4 linked regions of the Ovis aries genome follow. The protein of the gene in region 4 interacts with the protein of the main gene of each other region in a pairwise test. Links are inferred from orthologs where the notes say so. Each region holds a gene or a part of one and is shown on either strand. Other genes may lie near its edges.

Region 1 (5,191 bases), on a different chromosome or scaffold from region 4:
AAGTAAGTCACCTGATATTCAAGTTACAAGCCTAAATCTTTACTCCAATTCAGGATGTACACTGGCAAATATGTAGTTCAGCCAAATAAAGAAAAAGAAGGGTAACCCTGAACTGTATTTGCTTTGCTTTCTCTGGTAGATTTTTCTCCTGAAAGTCACCTATCTCATTCCACAAGGGTGTGTCCACATCTTTTTCACTTAGTACTAGGTCAGTTCAGTTCCTTAGCATGTTTCAGAATGACTAATCAACATGCACATACTATATGTAAAATTTTTACTGCTCTGGTCTCCTCCTATGTTTTCACCATGTGTAAACTGGTGGAAAGATTTTATTGCCCCTCAGGGAATGTCTTGAGGATTTTTATACCTCTTATCTTGTAAGCCAACTTCCCCTTGTGTCTCAGCTGGTAAAGAGTCTGCCTGCAATGCGGGAGACCTGGGTTCGATCCCTGGGTTGGGAAGATCCCCTGGAGATGGGAAAGCTACCCACTCCAGTATTCTGGCCTGGAGAATTCCATGGACTGTATAGTCCATGGGGTCGCAAAGAGTCAGACACGACTGAGCGATTTTCACTTCACATATCTTGTAAGCAGTTATATTTGGAGTCCAGGTTAGTCTTAAAATGTAGACCTGTTTCTATCACCTTCATGGAAAAGTAAATGAGAAAGGGGTGATAATAAAATGATCAGTCTTGGGAAAAAGAATCATTTTTGCTTGTTGTTAATCATTGCAAAAGATAATATCCTATTCTCAATTTTCAAAAGTTCTATGTGTTATTATACTTCTTTGAAGAGAATATGAGTGGTTTTATCTAATCCCTAAATAGGAGGAACAATTTATACTAATATTATTTTATATGAAGTTACTACCGGGGAAGAAAACATTACAGACATGATGATCAGAAATGCTCAATGACTGAAATAAACCACACATTTCTGTGTTTAACTTGATAAATACATTTCTGCTTCAAAAAGTATTCTAGACTATTTGCTTGAGGGAGCTTTTAGAGCCAGTCCCAGTGAGGGTTCAGGAGAATAAAACTGCTGGCAACTAATCTTCTTTGGGATCCAACTTTAAGTTAAAAATCCTTAAAGGCCATCTATCTTTGGAGCAAGAAAACCATTTTTCTTAAAATCCTATCCTTCATTTTTAGCTTTATTCTTTATGGAGAAAATGCTAAAGAATACAAGGATTCAAAAAAGGAAGGCCTTTCCAAATGTGAGGTAGGACTGCAGCTTTAAGAACTTTTCACATCACATACTTCCAGTCTGGGCCAGATATTAGATAACGGGGGTGTTAGCAAATACTTGTGTCCAATTAGAACAGTGCTTGCATCATTACATATTCAATAAGAATGTAGCCTGTTGCAAAGCGTCTCCAGGAACACAAAGACTCCTATTCTTTCTGACCAGAGCCACCACACTTGCCAGAATGTCTGTATCTACATTCCATAGTGAAGTCCGTAGAAACCATTAATACCTTTCAGCCAAGGGGACAGATGGCTCCTTTTCATCCTTATTAGATCACAAATTAGTTGTGCATAGCGATACTTCTGTCTAACCTTGGGGCCACAATAGAACTTGCCGGCAAGAAAATAAAATTTCTGGCTCCACTAAGTTTCTTATCCTCCCATCCATTTCACATCTAAAACTACAGGGCAGAATTGTGCTTTTTGTGGCCTTGTAAAAGGTAGTCAACTTTGGCAAAACCGCAACCTAAATCAAACTGTAACTCTTCAAAATCAAAATATCAACGTGTTGCAAACACGAAACGGAAAAAAAAATGATTTCTTGGGAAAAGAATCTTGAAACAAATTAAAAAATGTTAAAGACCATGTCCTACGGAACGGTTTAATCATTCAAGGGCTTTTATCCAGAACTGCGGTCTCTCTGCCACTAGGGGGCTTGGCGCGCAGACGTGAAGTTTTGTATGATTCAGACTTGGGTTAAGAAACTTTTAGAATTGCTCGTGGGTTGGGCGGGAGGGTGGCGTCCCGTGGCTTCGAGTAGGAACGGAATCTACCAACCTGTCTGAAAGACTGCAGAGTGCTCTCGGCTTCCTCTCTCTGAAGCATCTCCTCCTGCAACCTGAAACAGTTTCAGATTAACCACAGGGGAACCGGGAAACCGCCAGGGGCGGGGCGACCACACCCAAACACCCAGTCGTGGCGCAGAGACCCAAGGGTTGCTGCGCCACCTCCGCGCTCAATTAGCGACCGCGGCTTAGACCTGCTGTCCTAGGCAAGTTTAAGCGGGACCTTGGCCTCTGCGTGGAAAAGCAATCACTGTCGCCACCCCGACCTGCGAGACGCCCGCCACCACCTCACCGCGGAGACTCTACAATCCCTTTGTCTCGCTCTCTCCACGGCCCGTTGGCTGGCAGCCAGCCAGAGGGGGACAGGAAACTTTCTCAAAGTTTGGGGAAATCGCGTTCATCCTTTTCTAGGGCCTTAGCAGCAGCAGCAGCAGCAGAGTACACAGTGGTAGTTTTTAAAAGTCTGCAACTTGAAACGTGCGTTCTTGGGCAATGAGTCGGGGTAGAGGGAAAATGCTAACTTGGAAGATTCTGGTTCAGGGCGGGGCCCGCACCGCTTAAGCCACAACCCTGCTCCCCCGCTGTCCCCCACCCCCACCCCCGGCAGCCGCCGCCCGGGCCACATCCCCAAGGGCGTGGCAGCTCCGGTATCCACTTCATCCCTCCCTCAGCCCCGCGTGGGCGCCGCCTTACTTCTCCCGGAGCCTCATGATGTCTTCGGCCAGGTTGTCGCGCTCCACCTCGACGCGGGCCTTGTCGTTGGTGAGCTGGTCCACCTGCCGGCGCAGCTCTCGCATCTCCTCCTCGTAGAGGTCCCCCAGGCGCGACTTGCCCTGTCCCTTGAGCTGCTCGAGCTCAGCCAGCAGGATCTTGTTCTGCTGCTCCAGGAAGCGCACCTTGTCGATGTAGTTGGCGAAGCGGTCATTGAGCTCCTGCAGCTCCACCTTCTCGTTGGTGCGGGTGTTCTTGAACTCGGTGTTGATGGCGTCGGCCAACGAGAAGTCCACCGAGTCCTGCAGCAGCCGCACGCCGGGCACGCCGCTCCGCAGGCGCACAGCCGAGGAGCGCGTGGCGTACACGCCACCCGGGGACGAGGTGTAGAGGGTGCGGCTGGTGGAGGGGCGCAGCGCACTGCCCAGGCTGTAGGTGCGGGTGGACGTGGTCACGTAGCTCCGGGTGGAGCTCGGCCGGCTCGCGGTGCCTGGGCCGCCGAACATCCTGCGGTAGGAGGACGAGGACACGGACCTGGTGGACATGGCTGCAGAGGGTGGCGGTGGACTGGGCGACTGCGGTAGCACGGACTGGCTCCGGGAGAAGAGGCGAGCGCGAGGGCGCGGTGGGTGTGGGCAGAGGGAGCGGTGCTGCGTCTCTGGCGCGGGGAGCCCGGAGCGAGAGTGGCAGAGGACCGGACCCCGCGCGGGGCGCAGTTTTTATAACCGCGTTAGGTAAGAGGGTTCCCTCCCACTGCCATCCCGGCGACGGAGTGCGCCAGCCAATGGGGAAGGCTGGGCGGGGGGTTGGGGCGGGGGCGCCCCGGAGCCGTCCTCCTCCCCCATCTTCCCCAACGGGGACTGAGCACAGCCCCGTTACTTCTTAGCTGGGCTGGGACTTTCAGGGGCTTTCCTGATGGTGGCCCGAGCTCTGCTCACCTCTGGGTGCTGATAAAGGAGGGGTCGCGCAGTGGTGCAGGGGGAACCCGCCAGGACTGGACCAGAGGGGTCCCGGGCTCCGCGCCAAAGAGCTGTAGGAGGAGGCGCGCGGGTGGGAGGGGCGCGCCGCAGCTGGGTTGCGCTTTACTGGGAGAGAGAGGATGCGGAGCCCCGCGGGCCAAGAAGCAGGAGGAGGGGGAGTGCAGGATCCCGCAGAACTGGAGGCGTGGAGAAAGAAACAAAGAGGGCCTGAGATTAGAGCGCGAGGTGGGGGCGCGCACAGCTCTGGACGCAGGGCTTGGGCCCCGCGCAGGAGTGTGTGCACAGCCCGCTTCGAAAGAGGATCTGATGCGGACCCCGTCTCTCTTCGTCCTCTTGTCTTGGGAATTCCTGTTCAGGGACCTAACGGACTGGGTCCCCTTTGGACGGTGCGCGCTTCGAGGCGGCGGCCGAGGAAAGCCTGGGGGAGAAGGGTGGGGTCGCTGAGTCACTGGCACTGAGTCACTGCACCCGGCTGTCCCGCCGAAGGCTCCTAGCGGTACAGGGAAACCGTTAGACGAGATTGACTCCAGCCTCCCCGGGCCTGCGCGCACAGTTTGTCGAAGTTTAACACAACTTCGAGCTGGGCCTCAGCTTTCTCGTGGGCAGTTCGCCTGCGTGAAGACTAGCGCGCGCCTGAGTTCTTAAGAACCCGACAAAGCCAGATTTTGCTCCGATATGCAGGCTTCTCTGTAGTAAGAAACTTCTGCACACATTCTATAAGCGCCGAACGCGGGTCTGGGGCATCACAAATGCACTCCGGGGAGGTTCTTGCCAAGTTCCCCCTCACTCTTCTCCCTGGTCCCCTCTCGGCCTCCCCCTCCCCCCATAAAACCACACCCGACTTTTAACAGGATCTGGAAGTTTGGGGTGAAGGAGGAAGCTCTGCGTCCGCAGCTGCACAATCAAATTGATCTCTGGTTTTTCTGCTGTTGCGGAAGTCATTCAAGGTATAAACCTGCGCTAATTATAAGAATGAATTAGGTGATACTTTAAATGTTTAATTTGGTGAATGAAAGGCAGTTAGTTGATTAAATGATTAGTTAGAAAGGCAGCTAGTTAGCCTCAGATGATAGAATGTTTGCAGGGACTGATGCATTCTGCAGGATTCTGGTGTCTTGTCGGGGAAAAGTCACTGGTCCGTTGGTCGATTTTCCAGAATTCCTGCAGTTGGACTTAAAGTGAGAGAAACAAAATTGAATACGGGGCAAAATGTTTTAGTGTAGGGTGCCAAGGGAGTGTTCAGACTCTTAACACCAAAACCTTTTTAGATAAATCCCTCAACTAGGTTTTTGTTGTAATGTTAGTAACAGGAAGAACAGAATGGTTACCCCCAAAGAGAGACAAAGAAAATCCAAAACAGTCTTTTAGTGATACCTACAGCAATTTAAAATTCAGAGGTTTTTTGTTTGTTTATATTTACAAGACTGAAGGAGTATTGAAAGGATTAACCCCCAAACCACTGTTAA
Region 2 (4,546 bases), on a different chromosome or scaffold from region 4:
TTCGGGAGCCCCCGCAAGCCCCACAGCCACTCCTTCGACACCCCCGAGAGCCGGGTCTGGGGCCTCTGGGAAGAGCTGGGTGTGGGCAGCAGCGGCTACCTCACAGAGGAGGAGCTGGCCCTGGTCTGCCAGAGCATCGGGCTCCAGGGCCTGGCGAAGGAGGTGAGAGGGGATGGGATGGACCGCCCCAAAGGGCTGGGTCTTTGTGGTTGGTGCCGGGCCTGGAAGACCCCTTCACCCTCAGACACACACTCAGTCGTCACTGTCTGGCCTGAAATCCTGTGCTGACTCCCAGGGCTTGTGCTGAGGGTCCGTCTCGGGCCACCTCCACGCAGGATGCTTCTCTGCCTGGAGCTCTCTCCCCTCTCTGGTCTCCCTAGGCCTACCGCCCAGCCCAAAGGTGGTGCCCATAGCATCTGTGTTCAGCCCTTGCCTCCTTCAGGACCCAGAGAGGAGGGGGCAGTGTGATGGGATGGGCCCCACCTTGCTGACCCAGAACCGCTGGGATTCCGTACATGCATGTCCCACACATACATGTCCCACCGTCCAGCAGACTCCCTCACAGCAGACTCGGGGTGGGTGTTTGGGAGATGCGGGATGCTCAGCTGGGTGGAAACTGACTAGGCATATGGATTTCACAAGGCCCAGCCAGGAAGCCAGTGCTTGGATAGCAAGCCGCCTGCTTGGTAGGGTGGGGGCTGGGCCTGGGCGGGGCATTCAAGGCTGCTTGGGAGCAGCCTCTGAGCCGATGCCTAGGGCGCTTTTCTCTAGGAGCTTGAAGACCTGTTCAGCAAGCTGGACCAAGATGGGGATGGCAGAGTGAGTCTGGAGGAGCTCCAGCTTGGCCTGTTCAATCACGGGTCCCCTCGACCGCTGGAACTGGCCCCGCCTGTCAAACCCAGCGGGTCCTGGTCTCATTACCAGGTAAGGTGGGACAATTAACTCTTGAAGCCCAGGGTGACTGCATCATTCTCCTGAAGGCCTGATCTCTCTGCCTGGTCCCCAGAGTGGGTGCCCAGGAGGTGGTTGGAGTGACCTGACCTGACATCGCTTCTGCCTGCCTATGCGCCAGGGGTGAGCTGCTCGCCTTCTCTGAGCCTCAGGTTCCTCATCTGTAAAGTGGACGCACCTCATAGGGATTTTATGTGGATTCCCTGGGGTACACTGCGTTCCACCAACAGCACCCGGTTGCTCCTTCCCGGGGGACAGAGTCACTATCAGGGCCATGCCTTCCCCGGGACTAGCCCTCCAGGCTCTCCTGGAGCTGTGTTCTTCCCATTTTCCATCCTGCACGAGGCCAGCTGGGGTCAAGCAGACTTTATTTACACTGTGATGCTGGCTGGGCAGTGCGTTTGGTTCAGGTCTGTCTCAGGGTAGTCAGGGCTCCTTCTCCCACCGCAGGGCATGGTTGTCCTGGGGAGTCTTGCTGCCACCTCTTTGGCAGCGTGGTTGATCCCGTAGTTTTTGGGCAGCGGTGCAGGAACAGTGGCCTTGTTCTCTGCTGGGCTGGGCGTGTCCGAAGATCAGGTTTCTGCCCCTGAAGCCACTGAGATGGGGAAGAAGTTGGGTTAGTGAGGATAGTGCCCGGCCACCTGAGGGCAGGGACTGCATGGTGCCCACAGCCCACGGAGGAGGGCTCCTCCCAGGGGCCTCGGCCCCTCGTTCCCGCCCAGGAAGCACTGACGTGGCGCCAGGGCCATGTCCTGTGCGTGTGGACACCGGTGTGGCCAGGCTGCGGGTGTAGGGCCTCACGCAGCAGACCGAGGTTCTCCTACTCCATCAGGGGAGCCCCTGGGTCTGGTGGTCTGGGGACACCCACCTCAGAGAGGAGGGGGCTGCTGCTCCTCCTTGTTTTGGTCCCAACAGCAAATGCATGTCCCAAGGGCCCTCCCTGGGGCGGAAGCACAGCTTCCTGGCTGCACTTCAGCCTCACCTGTCAGCTTTCCGGCCGAGGGATTTTTCTGCCTTTGTCTCCAGCCCTGAATCCTGAGGACACGTGCCCTCTGCTTGGGCTGCTCTGCCTCTTCTGAAGCCCATCTTGGGTTTCTCTGCATAGACTGGGTTTCCCTTGGCTGGAGTGTGCCTTCCCGGGCTCTTCCTCTGGGAGGACAGGCGGCAAGCCACCTTGTTCAGGGAGAAGTTACCTCGGGGGGCCCTGCAGGTGCTGGGGCATCCCCCTGCATGGCCTCACGCAGACGGCCCTGAGCCCTGGGCTCGGGTCACCTCTGCGGAGCCTGCAGTTCCCGCAGGTCCTCTGGGTACCCTGTTCCCTGCAACAGGAATCAGGGAAGGCCACGCCCGCCAAGCACAAGTGGTGATGTGGGGAGGTGCGTGGGGAGGCCCACGGTCCTCACAGCGCTGGTCCCCGTGTGCAGGTCCCGGAGGAGAGTGTTGGCCAGACCACCACGTCGTCCCTCGTGTCCGTGTGCTCGGGCCCCCGCCTCTTCTGCAGTGTGGATGACGGCAGTGGCTTCGCCTTCCCGGAGCAGATCATCTCCTTGTGGGCCCAGGAGGGCGTTCACAATGGCAGGGAGGTCTTGCAGGTGTGGGCCGGTCACGTGGCTGCCCCAGCAGAGGTGTCTGGGCGGGGGGTTGCAGGGAGCTGCTGCCCATGAGGGAGGCTGGACAGAGAACCTCGCAGACATAGGCCCCATGGAGGGAAGGCCCGTCATCCTCACTTTTTGCTTTACTTTTTGATATCGATATGTAGGACCTCCTAACTTAGAAACATAATAAGTAAACAGCAGAGAAAGCCCACAGCCTGAAACAAATCCTCTAGAGGGTAGGTTTCAGTATCTCAGATTTACCCCGCAGTGCATGTTGGCCTCCGAGCGGATCCTGGGTCCTGGAGGACTAGAGGGCCTCTTAGTGACTGCAGCACGTGGGTGTGGACACCAGGAGGCGCTGCCCACACGTGTCGCGCAGTTTTTCTAATCTGGAAGCTGCTGCCCAGACTTCTTCATCCTCTGCTCCCACCGTGATTTCATTGCTGAGAAGCGTGCTCTCAGCAAGTCTTGGCGGCAGCTTCCCGGTCGCTCCGCACGCTTTAGCATCCTGTCATTTTTCTCCCAGAAGTCCTCAGGGCCGTGGAGAAGCGTGGAGATTCAAGTCCCCTCTCCCACTTTACAGCAAGGGCTTCCGCGTGGGCCCTGCCATGTGCCTGCCCCACCCGTGTGTCTGCAACTTGTAGTCACAAGCACCAGTCACTGAGAGAGCAGCCACAGCACCAGTGTTATCACTAGGCTGCCACAGGTGCACGGGCGTTCCCAGCCTGCTCTTTTTCTTACTTTTTCTTACTTAAAATACAGAAAGCACAGTTTTTCTGTTCTTTTAACTCTACCTTCCCCAATCCCGAGGGGGAATGGCTCTGACTCTCAGGAATGCTTGGCTGTGGCTCATCGCTCTATCAATCGTTTCCACCGACAGAACCCACATTGTTCCTATGTCTGTCCGTGCTGTTTAGAGATATATTAAGGATTCTTTGTGTCTGAAATGGCAAGAACTCAACTCACACTTGGCAAGAGGAGGACATCAGGGATCTTTGTGACCAGCTGGGGAAGAAGGAGGAAGTTTAGGCTTGGGGGTCCCAGCTCTGGTGGTTGTCAGGACTCTCCTGGCCTCTGGGTCTTGCACCCTTGCACAGCTCCCCAGGACCCCGTGGTCTATACAACACTTGCTCTGACAGAGGAAAAGCCCTTCTCCAGCCTCCCTATCAATCCCCAAAGTCCTCTGCTTGCATATGCCCCCTTCTATGTCTGTCCCTTTGTCCAAGAAGGGGGACTCTCCAGCCTGGGTCATGCCCGCCTCCGAGGCAGGGTCAGTGAGGAGAGGAGCTGTATGTTGACAGTGGGAGGGCGACATCAGTGTTGACAGGGACCTGGGGAGAGGTACCCCAGAGGGATGGGAGCAAGGGAGAGGCTCCATTCAAGAGGTGGAGACTTTGCAGACAGAAAAGGATGGTACTGGGACAGTGAGGTCTGGGCCTGTGGGACCCAGCAAATATCTGAAGACCCACTCATCCTGCCTGCCCAACGGTCCTTTCTGTTTTCAGAGCCTTGACTTCAGTGTGGACGAGAAGGTGAACCTTTTGGAGCTGAGCTGGGCCCTGGAGAATGAGCTCATGATGGTGGGCGGGGCCGCCCAGCAGGCAGCCTTGGCCTGCTACCGCCAGGAGCTGAGCTTCTGCCAGTAAGAGCCGCACTGGGGGAGGCGTGGGGTGCCACTGGCCAGGCTGGCCTCCTCGCCCAGGACACGGGGGGCCTGCGGGAGGAGAAAGGCTGCTTCCAGCATGGCCACAAAGCACGGCATGGAGATTGGGCCCAGAATGCGATCCTTTTTAATTGGGTTTGGCTCCAGTTGAGCTGGATATTCAGGCCATCCGTCTACTGAGCCCGTTGGCACAGAGATTGTTAGTGTATTTTTATTGATGCTCTGAAGCTACAGAAAAGGTTGGCAGAAATTGCAGTCTCCATCCCCACGACTTTGCATCTCATTAGATACCGACAGATGAGACCTCTGACGTCAGGCAACTCTGCAGAGGGGCCCA
Region 3 (4,546 bases), on a different chromosome or scaffold from region 4:
CCTTGTTGGGGCAATGTTTCTGCAGCACTGTATACCTAGGACAGCCCTGATGTGGTGGGAAGAACAAAGGCTCTGGAGCCAGAAAGACCTAGACTCAAGGTCTCGCTTCTCTGCTTCCAGCTGTGAAACCTGGAGTAGACTACTTAACTTATATAAGTCTCAGTTTCCTCATATGAAAACAGAATCATCTCCTCAAGGGCTTTAGGGAGGTTGTGAGGATTGAGTGAGAGTGAGATGATGCTTTAGAAACAACCAGCATGGTGCCAGGCACAGAGCAGGCACTCAGAAAACACCAGCCCCAAGGGGGCTGGGCAGGGAAGTGAAGAGGAACTGGTGTGGGCTCTGCCTAAGAACTGGTGTGGGCTCTGCCTCGACCACACAGAACTGTCAGGTCTTGAGGCTCCCCCAGCTCTACTGCCCCCTAATCTGGGTTCCCTAGAGTCTGCTGCCACATCCACCCAGGCCACTCCCACTTTCAACCAGGAGACAGGGCAAGGAGGCTGGGGAGGCACGTACTGCCACAGAGGTCGCCGAAGATGTAGTAACACTGCTCGGAGAAGGTGATCTTGTTGACAGTGTGGCGGATGAAGCCGGCTTTCAGCAGGTTGCTGGCATACTTGCGGGCCTCTCGCCGGTCAGTGAAGCCTTCCACGTTGTGGTACAGCCAGTCCACCACATCCGAGCCTGAGGGCAAGGCTGCCACTTGATTGGGAGGCCCACCAGACCTGGGCTCTTCTGACCTCACAGGAGCCATGAGGCTGGTGCTGATTCCAACTCCAAGGGGTGGCCCAAGGGAGTTCTTGGGTCCTGGCCTGCCCTGCCCCACCACTTTCCACCCCATCCTTCATCCCACCATGGGGCCCTCTCACCGATGAAAGCGTTGGGGATGGTAATCTTGAGCCACATTCGGTCACGGACCTCTAGCCCGGATTCAGGGGAGGCCATGGCTTTTACTATGGCAGCCATGTCACTGTGGATGGACAGGTGGAAGTCGTCTAGGCCTGGGGGTGGGAGGTAAAATGGTGAGGCAGAAAGGGGCCATGGAGTCAAGTACACAGGAGTTTGCATTCCAGCTCTACTGCCTAATAACATGGACCAATGTCAGGCAAATTACCAACATTTGGGACACTCAGTTTCCCCTTCTGTAAAAATAGGGACTTTAATATCTATTTTACAAGGATATTTGAAGAGAGAATTAAATAATATAAATGAAGGTGCTTAGCCCAGTGTACAATGTATGCTGTGATAATAGAAAGGCAGTCATTTACTGAGCGCTTACTTTATGCCACACACTGTGCTTGATGTTTTACTTGTATCCTCTCATTAAACCCTAGAAGCCTGGTAAAGTGCATATCATCAGTCCCATTTTACAAGAGGAAACTGAGGCTTACTGGGTGCTCAGTACAGGTTCAGAAGCAAATGGTTTGGTGAGGGTCAGTGTCCACTGAGGGAAACTGCAGAGTGAGGTGGCTGGAACAGACCGACTCTCCTCTCCAGCTCCCTCGGATGCTCAAGCAAGAGTCTCCAGGTGGGCCTTCAGCAGTCCCTTCCAGCTGGTCCTATGTGCTGGACCCAGGGGTCAGGGTTGGACACTCACGCTCTGTGTCAGGGATGGAGCTGGTGATGGAGGAGCTGGTGGAGGTGATGGTGCTCAGGGAGGGGCTCATGCCGTAGGCAGGGAAGGTGCCGGTCATGGCTGCAGTGTGGGAGACCCAGGCCGCGGGGTCAATGGGTCGGATGGGCTCACCTGCGGGGAGGATGAGGAGTCAGGGACTACCTGCCCTGCCCACTGCCTGGCCCAGTAGGGTAGGTGTGAGGTTCAGGGTAACACAGAAGGAAGGAGAGACTGGGCTCACATATGCTAAGCACCAGCTTTAGGGCCCAGTCTCCCATCCACTTACTCCTGGGCAGTGTGAAGCACCCACGTGGACTTGGGTCCCAGCACTTGGCTACAGTCAAGGTGATGGGCCTGAAAGCAAGGGTGTCCCTAGTGAGGGCAGGATGTGTGGAGGCCAAACCAAGCCCCTTCCCTGTTAGTCAGAAATACCTGCCCTCTCCTTCCCAATGCCATCCATACCCTGGTTTGTGTACAATTTCCCGAAGTACTCGGACCGCGTCATCGTTACTCATGTTCTCAAAGTTGATCTCGTTTACCTGGGAAAAAGGACCAGGAGTGGAATACGCAGCTGTGTTGGGGAGATGGTAGGGAAGCTAAGTTTGGTGGGCTAGGGGGTCTTCCCCATACCAAGAAGCAGGATACAGAGGGTGTGGACATTTCCCCGTCTCCATCCATACCACCACCCAGGGTGGGCAATGGTACCTGTAACAGCATGTCTCCTGGCTCAATGCGTCCATCAGCAGCCACGGCCCCACCCTTCATGATGGAGCCAATGTAGATGCCTCCATCACCACGCTCGTTGCTTTGGCCCACAATGGAGATGCCCAAGAAGTTATACTTTTCTACAGGGAGTAATAAGAACTTGAGACAGGAACAACGTTCCTACCCAGATTCTAAGCCCTTCATTAGAAAAGGGTAGAAAGGGACAAGAACTAACATTTATTGAACTTGAATCAGGCACTGTATTCTGCATACTCAAACATACTTTCACTTAATCCTTGTTGGCTACGAGGTAGGAACTCAATCCTGTTTTACAGAGAAGACAAATGAGGTGCAGAGAATTTGAGCCATGAAGTGGCAGAGTTAGGGTTCAAACTCAGATTTAAATTCCAAAGTTGGGGCTCTTTCACTACATCCTGCTACCTCCTAAAGAAGAACACCTAGGGCAGAAATCAGAGACCAAGAATGTAAGGGATGGAAATCGGAAAGTGGGGAAGCATCAGAATCAGTTTAGGAAGCCATCCTGGGTGCCATTCTCTGCTTCCATAGTGCTTATCTCTGTCATAGCTCTGATCATGAGATACTGAATGGATCAGTGTATGTAGCAGTTTATGCTTATGAAAAAGAGCTCCTTGAGGGAAGGGAACATATCGTGTATCTCTCTGCACTCCCGGTGTGGCACGTAGCAGGCGCTGGAAAGTGTCATTTCACGAGACTCACCCATGTTGAGAGTGACGGTGATGATGTTGAGTGACATGGTGGAGTCCGTGATGCTGCTGAAGGATGAAGACTGGAATAGACAGAGGCCCTGAGCAGCAGGCAGGGGTGGCAGGAACTCACTGCTCCCACCGAGCTCTTCCTCAAGGCTAGCCCTCAGCACCACCTCCCCTCTAGGATGCTATACCCTGACCCAAGGGGAGGGATCGAAGGAAGACAAACTCTCGTCTTGCTGGGGGCAGGGGGGCTCCGTCTGCTCCACCCACCCCAGCGTCTTGGCCCCATACCCGCTCAATCCGGGAAACCTTCTGCTTCCGCCGCCGCCGCTTGTGTCTTCTCATCAGGCGTGAGGCGCTGCTCTGCTCTGTGGAGCTGCTGAACCTGTGGGGCCCACAGTCGTTCCCCACCAGGCTGGCCCAGCCCTATCCCAAAGAGGCATCGCAGGGCCCGGGTCCCCACCACAAAGCCCACATCCTGCCCAGAGGCCCAGCATCCTCAGGGGTCAGGGCTCCTATGGGTCACCTGTCCCACAGTACCCAGGAAACCAAAGCCCCACCTGCTGGTGGAATCATCCTCATCTGAATCAAAGAAGCTGGTGGTCTCCAACTCGCTGCTCATCAGGGTGGAGGAGCTGTCATAACCCCCTGGCTCTCGTCGCCGTTCCCCCTTGGCAGTTCCATTCAGCCGGGTTGCTGCAGGGGACGGAGGCAGCTGGGCTCACAGTGCTTGATGAAGGAGAGAAGGAGGCAAGGACGAGCCAGGGGCTGTACTGGGGCCAGGCCTATCCAGAGCTCAGGAAGGAAGGCAGAGAGTTGGGTAGCTGGGTGGAAGGGGCAGGGAGAGATGCTGGGGGTGGGGAAGGTGTGGGTTCAGGGAGGACGCACTGTGCTCTGGGCCATCCCTCCGGCGTGGCCGCTCTCGCTGGGCAGACACCAAGGAGTCTGTCTCTGTGTCGTTGTCCAAGTTCTCCTGGCTGCCCCCACCAGCGTGAGGGCTGTAGGGAAGAGAGGACTTGGTGGGGGAGGGCGCAGGCTGGGGGCCCTCTCCCCCAGCCAAGCTGAGCTGAGGCAGCCCTCCCCCTAGGGGCTCTCCCCACCCTCCGGTCACACTCACTGGAAGGATGGGGGCCGGGAGTCGCCGATGCCTCCTGTGCGCTCCATGGGCGGTGGCAGTTCTGCCGGGCTGTCAGCACAGAAGGGCGCTGGTTCTGGGTGTGAGCCTTCAGCCGACACCAGCTGATGGGGAGAAGATGCTTGGGTACTGGGGCACAGAGGCCCCAGGGAAAAGGGGCTAGCTGGCTTCTGGCAGGGCATGAAGACTTGGGGAGAATGAAGCAGGGGCCATGGGGGGAGAAGAGACGGGACTGTGCAAGGTCAGCTGAGACGACGAGGAGGCTGAAAGGCATGGGCTGGGGAAATGGAATGGGAGCGGAGAACAAGGGTCAGAGGTCCAAGGTAGAGGTCGGCACGTGACAGAAGGAAACCTGACCAG
Region 4 (4,546 bases):
TGCCTCAAGAACTATGGACGGAGGTTCGTGACACTGTACAGGACGCAGTGATCAAAACCATCCCCAAGAAAAAGAAATGCAAAAAGGCAAAATGGTTGTCTGAGAAGGGCTTACAAATACCTGAGAAAAGAAGAGAAGAGAAAGGCAAAGGAGAAAAGGAAAGATACATCCATCTGAATGCAGAGTTCCAGAAAATAGCAAGGAGAGATAAGAAAGCCTTCCTCAAGTAATCACTGCCAAGAAATAAAGGAAAACAACAGAATGGGACAGCTTAGAGATCTCTTTAAAATTAGAGATACCAAGGGAGTATTTCATGCAAAGATGGGCATAAAAAAAGGACAGAAACAGTATGGACCTAACAGAAGAAGATATCAAGAAGAGATGGCAAGAGTAAACAGAACTATACTAAAAAGATCTTAATGACCCAGATAGCAACAATGGTGTGATCACTCACCTGGAGCCAGACATCCTGGAGTCAGGAAGTAGTGGAGGTAACAGAACTCCAGCTGAGCTATTTCAAATCCTAAATGATGATGCTGTTAAAGTGCTGCACTCAATATGTCTGCAAATTTGGAAAACTCAGCACTAGCCACAGGACTGGAAAATGTCAGTTTTCATTCCAATCCCAAAGAAAGGCAAGGCCAGAGAATGTGCAAACTATCGCACAATTGCACTCATTTCACATACTAGTAAAGTAATGCTCAAAATCCTTCAAGTTAGGCTTCAACAGTATGTGAATTGAGAACTTCCAGATTTATACAAACTGGATTTAGAAAAGGCTGAGGAAGCAGAGATCAAACTGCCAACATCCATCGAATCATAGAAAAAGCAAGAGAATTCCAGAAAAACATCTACTTCTGCATCATTGACTACACTAAAGCCTTTGACTGTGTAGATCACAACAAACTGGAAAATTCTTAAAGAGATGAGAATACCAGACCACCTTACCTTACGCCTTCTGAGAAATCTGTATGCAGATCAAGAAACAACAGTTAGACCAGACACGGAACAACAGACTGGTTCTGTCTAGTCAAAGCTATGGCTTTTCCAGTAGTCATGTACAGATGTGAGAGCTGGACAATAAAAAAGGCTAAGCGCCGAAGAATTTGAGCTCTTGAACTGTGGTGCTGGAGAAGACTCTTGAGAATCCCTTGGACAGCAAGGAGATCAATCAATCCTACAAGAAATCAGTCCCGAATATTCACTGGAAGGACTGATGCTGAAGCGGAGGCTCCAATACTTTGGCCACCTGATGTGAAGAGCCAACTCACTGGAAAAGACTCTGATGCTGGGAAAGATTGAAGACAGGAGGAGAAGCGGACAACAGAGCATGCGATGGTTGGATGGCACCACCAACTCAATGGACTTGAGCTTGAGCAAAAGGGAAGCTTTGAGGCAAACCTGAAGTGCTACTGTCCATGGGGTGGCAAAGCATTGGACATGACTGAGCAACTGGAAAACAACAATCAAGACACCCTAGAGCTTATCATCACCATGGTCATGGACCTTCAGACAACTTACCATGTGTCGGCGGAGTATTGTTTGGCTCTTCATGTATTTTAAACAGAATTCACACATGTAAAGACGTCCCAGTCGTGCATATTCTTCAGGATAGGGAGAATGGTACCAAGTATCAAGCTCATAGCGACCAAAAGCAATTGTTTTAATCATGTTGCTCCCCTCTGTGATTTGGCCTTGCAGCCTTAACTTCTCCTGTGTTGCAGAGAAGAAATCAAGTTAAAGGAGGATAAGAATTAATCATTTCTATTGTTGTAAGCTGCGTGCATGCCACCACAACCGGCTATGAAAAAAATAGTTTCTGGCTTCTAGCTCATGAGTAACTTACACTGAAGAGGACTATGGGGGCATGGGTCACCAGGAAGGCTAGAGAAAATGTACTGTCTACACTGCCCAGAGCACAGGTCTTGAGAGTGGCTTTTCTCTGCTACCTACCCACTTGGGCCTAATCTCTTGAACATCAGAACAAGCCCTTCGTAAAATTTTACTTTTTATCAGTCTGAAATAAACAGAATTTTAAAAGACCATCTATCACAAACTCCCTACACCTTAACAAACATTCTAAACCTAAACAAAAGCTTCTCGAGAATGCACTTCATACGTGTGCAAAAGCTTTTATAAAGAAAGCTGTATGGATCTGCATGACATGCACCCATGCTGGCCATGCTCTCAACTTGGGTCCTTTAAAAAACACTTTTGAAACACGGATGATGCTTTAATTCTGGAATTTAAAGCTAGAAAGTAGAAGATATTTTTGAATACCTGTCCCCACTCAGTGGCTATGAGTTAGTCACAGAAATAATTCTGAAGAATAATCAGGCAGAGCTCTGAAAAGCTGGCCTAGGAAATGTTCAGTACCAGGGTAAGATAGAGAAAACTGGCAGTGGTAGCCCAGCCTAAATAAGGGCAGCAATCAAACCCTGCCTCTCCCAAAATTTCAACAAGTCTCCTCTATGGAGCCTTATACCAAGGTCACAGGACAAAAATTTCTGTAATTAACCAAGGTCAGTAACAACTGTTGCCATGAGCTTCTAGATCTAAATCAGCCAGGTCCTTTACCCTCCATTAGGTAAAATACCCCACCCTGAAACTTCTAACCAGTCACTTAATGTTACCCTTCCAGCTGGAATTTTCTCTGCCTTGAGGCTATAAAAATTGGCAACTAGCCCAAGAAAGGGGTCAGCTCTCCCTTGAGCCAGTCTGCTGTTCTAATAACATCTCCCACTCTAAGAAACTCTGTTCTCCTCTCATCCTGCCTCATGTCTGGAAATTCTTTTCCAACCAGCCCATGGACCACTATATCATCAAGAATTCTTAAATAAAGTATTTGATTATAAATTTTTTTAAAAAAAAGGAAGATGAAATTCACTTTACAAACTTTAAGTTTCTTTGAAGTGAAGTCGCTCAGTCGTGTCCGACTCTTTGCGACCCCATGGACTGTAGCCTATCAGGCTCCTCCGTCCATGAGATTTTCCAGGCAAGAGTGCTGGAGTGGACTGCCATTTGGACATATTTAATTCATTCAATCAGAATTCTAAACTATCTGACAACATAGTTGTCAGATTCTAAATTAGCTAAACTATCTGACAACAACCTTGATCATTATTCCTCTCCCATTCTTTTATAGCTACAATGAAAGGCTGAAGCAATCCCACAAAGGGGAGTTCCTATTTAGGTTAAGAGGACAACAGAGGGGTACCTTCCAGTCTAGGGGTTCTCAGAATTACAAATTATCCAACTGACACAAAGGGGCACCCACTGTTCTATCCAGATAACTACCTCTACCAAACAGGTCCTTCCAGGAGTTGAGGTGGAGAGGGAAAACTTTAAGGGACAAAGGAAGGGAGGAGGGGTAATTAATTTTAAATATCAATGGGAAGGAAGTCTCAAATAAGGATGTCCGGGGGAAGGGAAAAAGGGTCAAGCAGCAAGGTATGTTTAATCCCTAGCAAACTGACTGCTAATTTTCCTTGGCAGTTCCAAGTGACCCTCACAAGTAGTCCTCATCTTGGAAGTTTCAATACTCACCAGATCCTCTGAAGCACGGGCTTGTGCTCTTCGGAAAAGATCCAAGTCATACTCGCTCGTCAGGTTTTCCAGGAGAGGTTCCCGAGTGTTCCCATAGGTCTGCCTGTGTTCCTAGGAAAATAACCGGAGCATGATACTTTCTGCTTCTAAGAACTTGCTGCTGCTGCTACTGCTAAGTCACTTCAGTCATGTCTGACTCTGTGCGACTCCATAGACGGCAGCCCACCAGGCTCCCCCATCCCTAGGATTCTCCAGGCAAGAACAGTGGAGTGGGTTGCCATTTCCTTCTCCAATGCATGAAAGTGAAAAGTGAAAGTGAAGTCACTCAGTCGTGTCTGACTCCTAGCGACCCCATGGACTGTGGCCCACCAGGCTCCTCCGTCCATGGGATTCTCCAGGCAAGAGTGCTGGAGTGGAGTGCCATTGCCTTACTTAACCTATTGCCTTTCAACGGATGCCAACCAGAAGGCCAAGAATAACCATACTTATTTATTTAGTACCTGCTATTAATATTTGCCAGGCATTATACTAGGCACTAGGGATCAAGTACAAAACAAACTATTTATCAGACAGGTTAATTCCAGAAGATACCTACTATCCACTCTAGTGAACCTGGAAAGGAAATGTCCTAACCACCACCCCAAAAGAGAGTTTCATTCTTCAGAATTTTATGCTTCCATTTCTTCCTCTGAAAATGTGCATTGCAAAACAAATCAATAAAATATAACAAAACCCAAATGCACTACCAACTCCTAGAACCCTGAAATCTAGTTGAATACTCATTTAAAAACAAAACCAAATAAAAACTAGAATCTCTAAGCCTTCAATTCTAAGACTTCAGGCTGAAAAAAAAATCTACAGGAAGGAGCAGCTAGACTAAGCAGGCTTTTGTAAACTCTTTCCCTTGAATTGCTGCACCTACTATAATACAATCCACCAAAGGTACTGGAATACTCCCACCTTAGAACTCCAGTCCAAGTCTACAGGAAAAAAGGTTAAC

What was found.
Region 1: the proteins of KAT7 (region 4) and VIM interact in binary tests that used the Homo sapiens proteins (3 or more experiments, as listed by UniProt). The link is inferred for Ovis aries from reciprocal best matches to the Homo sapiens genes KAT7 and VIM.
Region 2: the proteins of KAT7 (region 4) and NINL interact in a two-hybrid assay, tested with the Homo sapiens proteins (2 studies listed by BioGRID and IntAct). The two-hybrid records come from large-scale screens. The link is inferred for Ovis aries from reciprocal best matches to the Homo sapiens genes KAT7 and NINL.
Region 3: the proteins of KAT7 (region 4) and DVL3 interact in a two-hybrid assay, tested with the Homo sapiens proteins (2 studies listed by BioGRID and IntAct). The two-hybrid records come from large-scale screens. The link is inferred for Ovis aries from reciprocal best matches to the Homo sapiens genes KAT7 and DVL3.

Annotation. Positions count from the first base shown.
Region 1 is NC_056066.1:31,054,372-31,059,562, reverse strand, and holds the start of VIM (vimentin), read right to left. Parts: upstream 3,438-5,191; 5' UTR 3,291-3,437; coding exon 2,728-3,290; intron 2,088-2,727; coding exon 2,027-2,087; intron 1-2,026. UniProt on the Homo sapiens protein: Vimentins are class-III intermediate filaments found in various non-epithelial cells, especially mesenchymal cells. Vimentin is attached to the nucleus, endoplasmic reticulum, and mitochondria, either laterally or terminally.
Region 2 is NC_056066.1:10,564,956-10,569,501, forward strand, and holds part of NINL (ninein-like protein), read left to right. Parts: coding exon 1-162; intron 163-197; exon of another isoform or gene 198-515; coding exon of another isoform or gene 516-575; intron 576-771; coding exon 772-924; intron 925-1,302; exon of another isoform or gene 1,303-1,546; intron 1,547-1,933; exon of another isoform or gene 1,934-2,316; intron 2,317-2,375; coding exon 2,376-2,543; intron 2,544-4,051; coding exon 4,052-4,188; intron 4,189-4,546. UniProt on the Homo sapiens protein: Involved in the microtubule organization in interphase cells. Overexpression induces the fragmentation of the Golgi, and causes lysosomes to disperse toward the cell periphery; it also interferes with mitotic spindle assembly.
Region 3 is NC_056054.1:203,773,973-203,778,518, forward strand, and holds part of DVL3 (segment polarity protein dishevelled homolog DVL-3), read right to left. Parts: intron 4,291-4,546; coding exon 4,169-4,290; intron 4,050-4,168; coding exon 3,940-4,049; intron 3,748-3,939; coding exon 3,612-3,747; intron 3,437-3,611; coding exon 3,343-3,436; intron 3,129-3,342; coding exon 3,059-3,128; intron 2,461-3,058; coding exon 2,321-2,460; intron 2,155-2,320; coding exon 2,078-2,154; intron 1,970-2,077; coding exon 1,902-1,969; intron 1,748-1,901; coding exon 1,598-1,747; intron 1,002-1,597; coding exon 870-1,001; intron 685-869; coding exon 517-684; intron 1-516. UniProt on the Homo sapiens protein: Involved in the signal transduction pathway mediated by multiple Wnt genes.
Region 4 is NC_056064.1:36,556,153-36,560,698, forward strand, and holds part of KAT7 (histone acetyltransferase KAT7), read right to left. Parts: intron 3,658-4,546; coding exon 3,547-3,657; intron 1,714-3,546; coding exon 1,522-1,713; intron 1-1,521. UniProt on the Homo sapiens protein: Catalytic subunit of histone acetyltransferase HBO1 complexes, which specifically mediate acetylation of histone H3 at 'Lys-14' (H3K14ac), thereby regulating various processes, such as gene transcription, protein ubiquitination, immune regulation, stem cell pluripotent and self-renewal maintenance and embryonic development.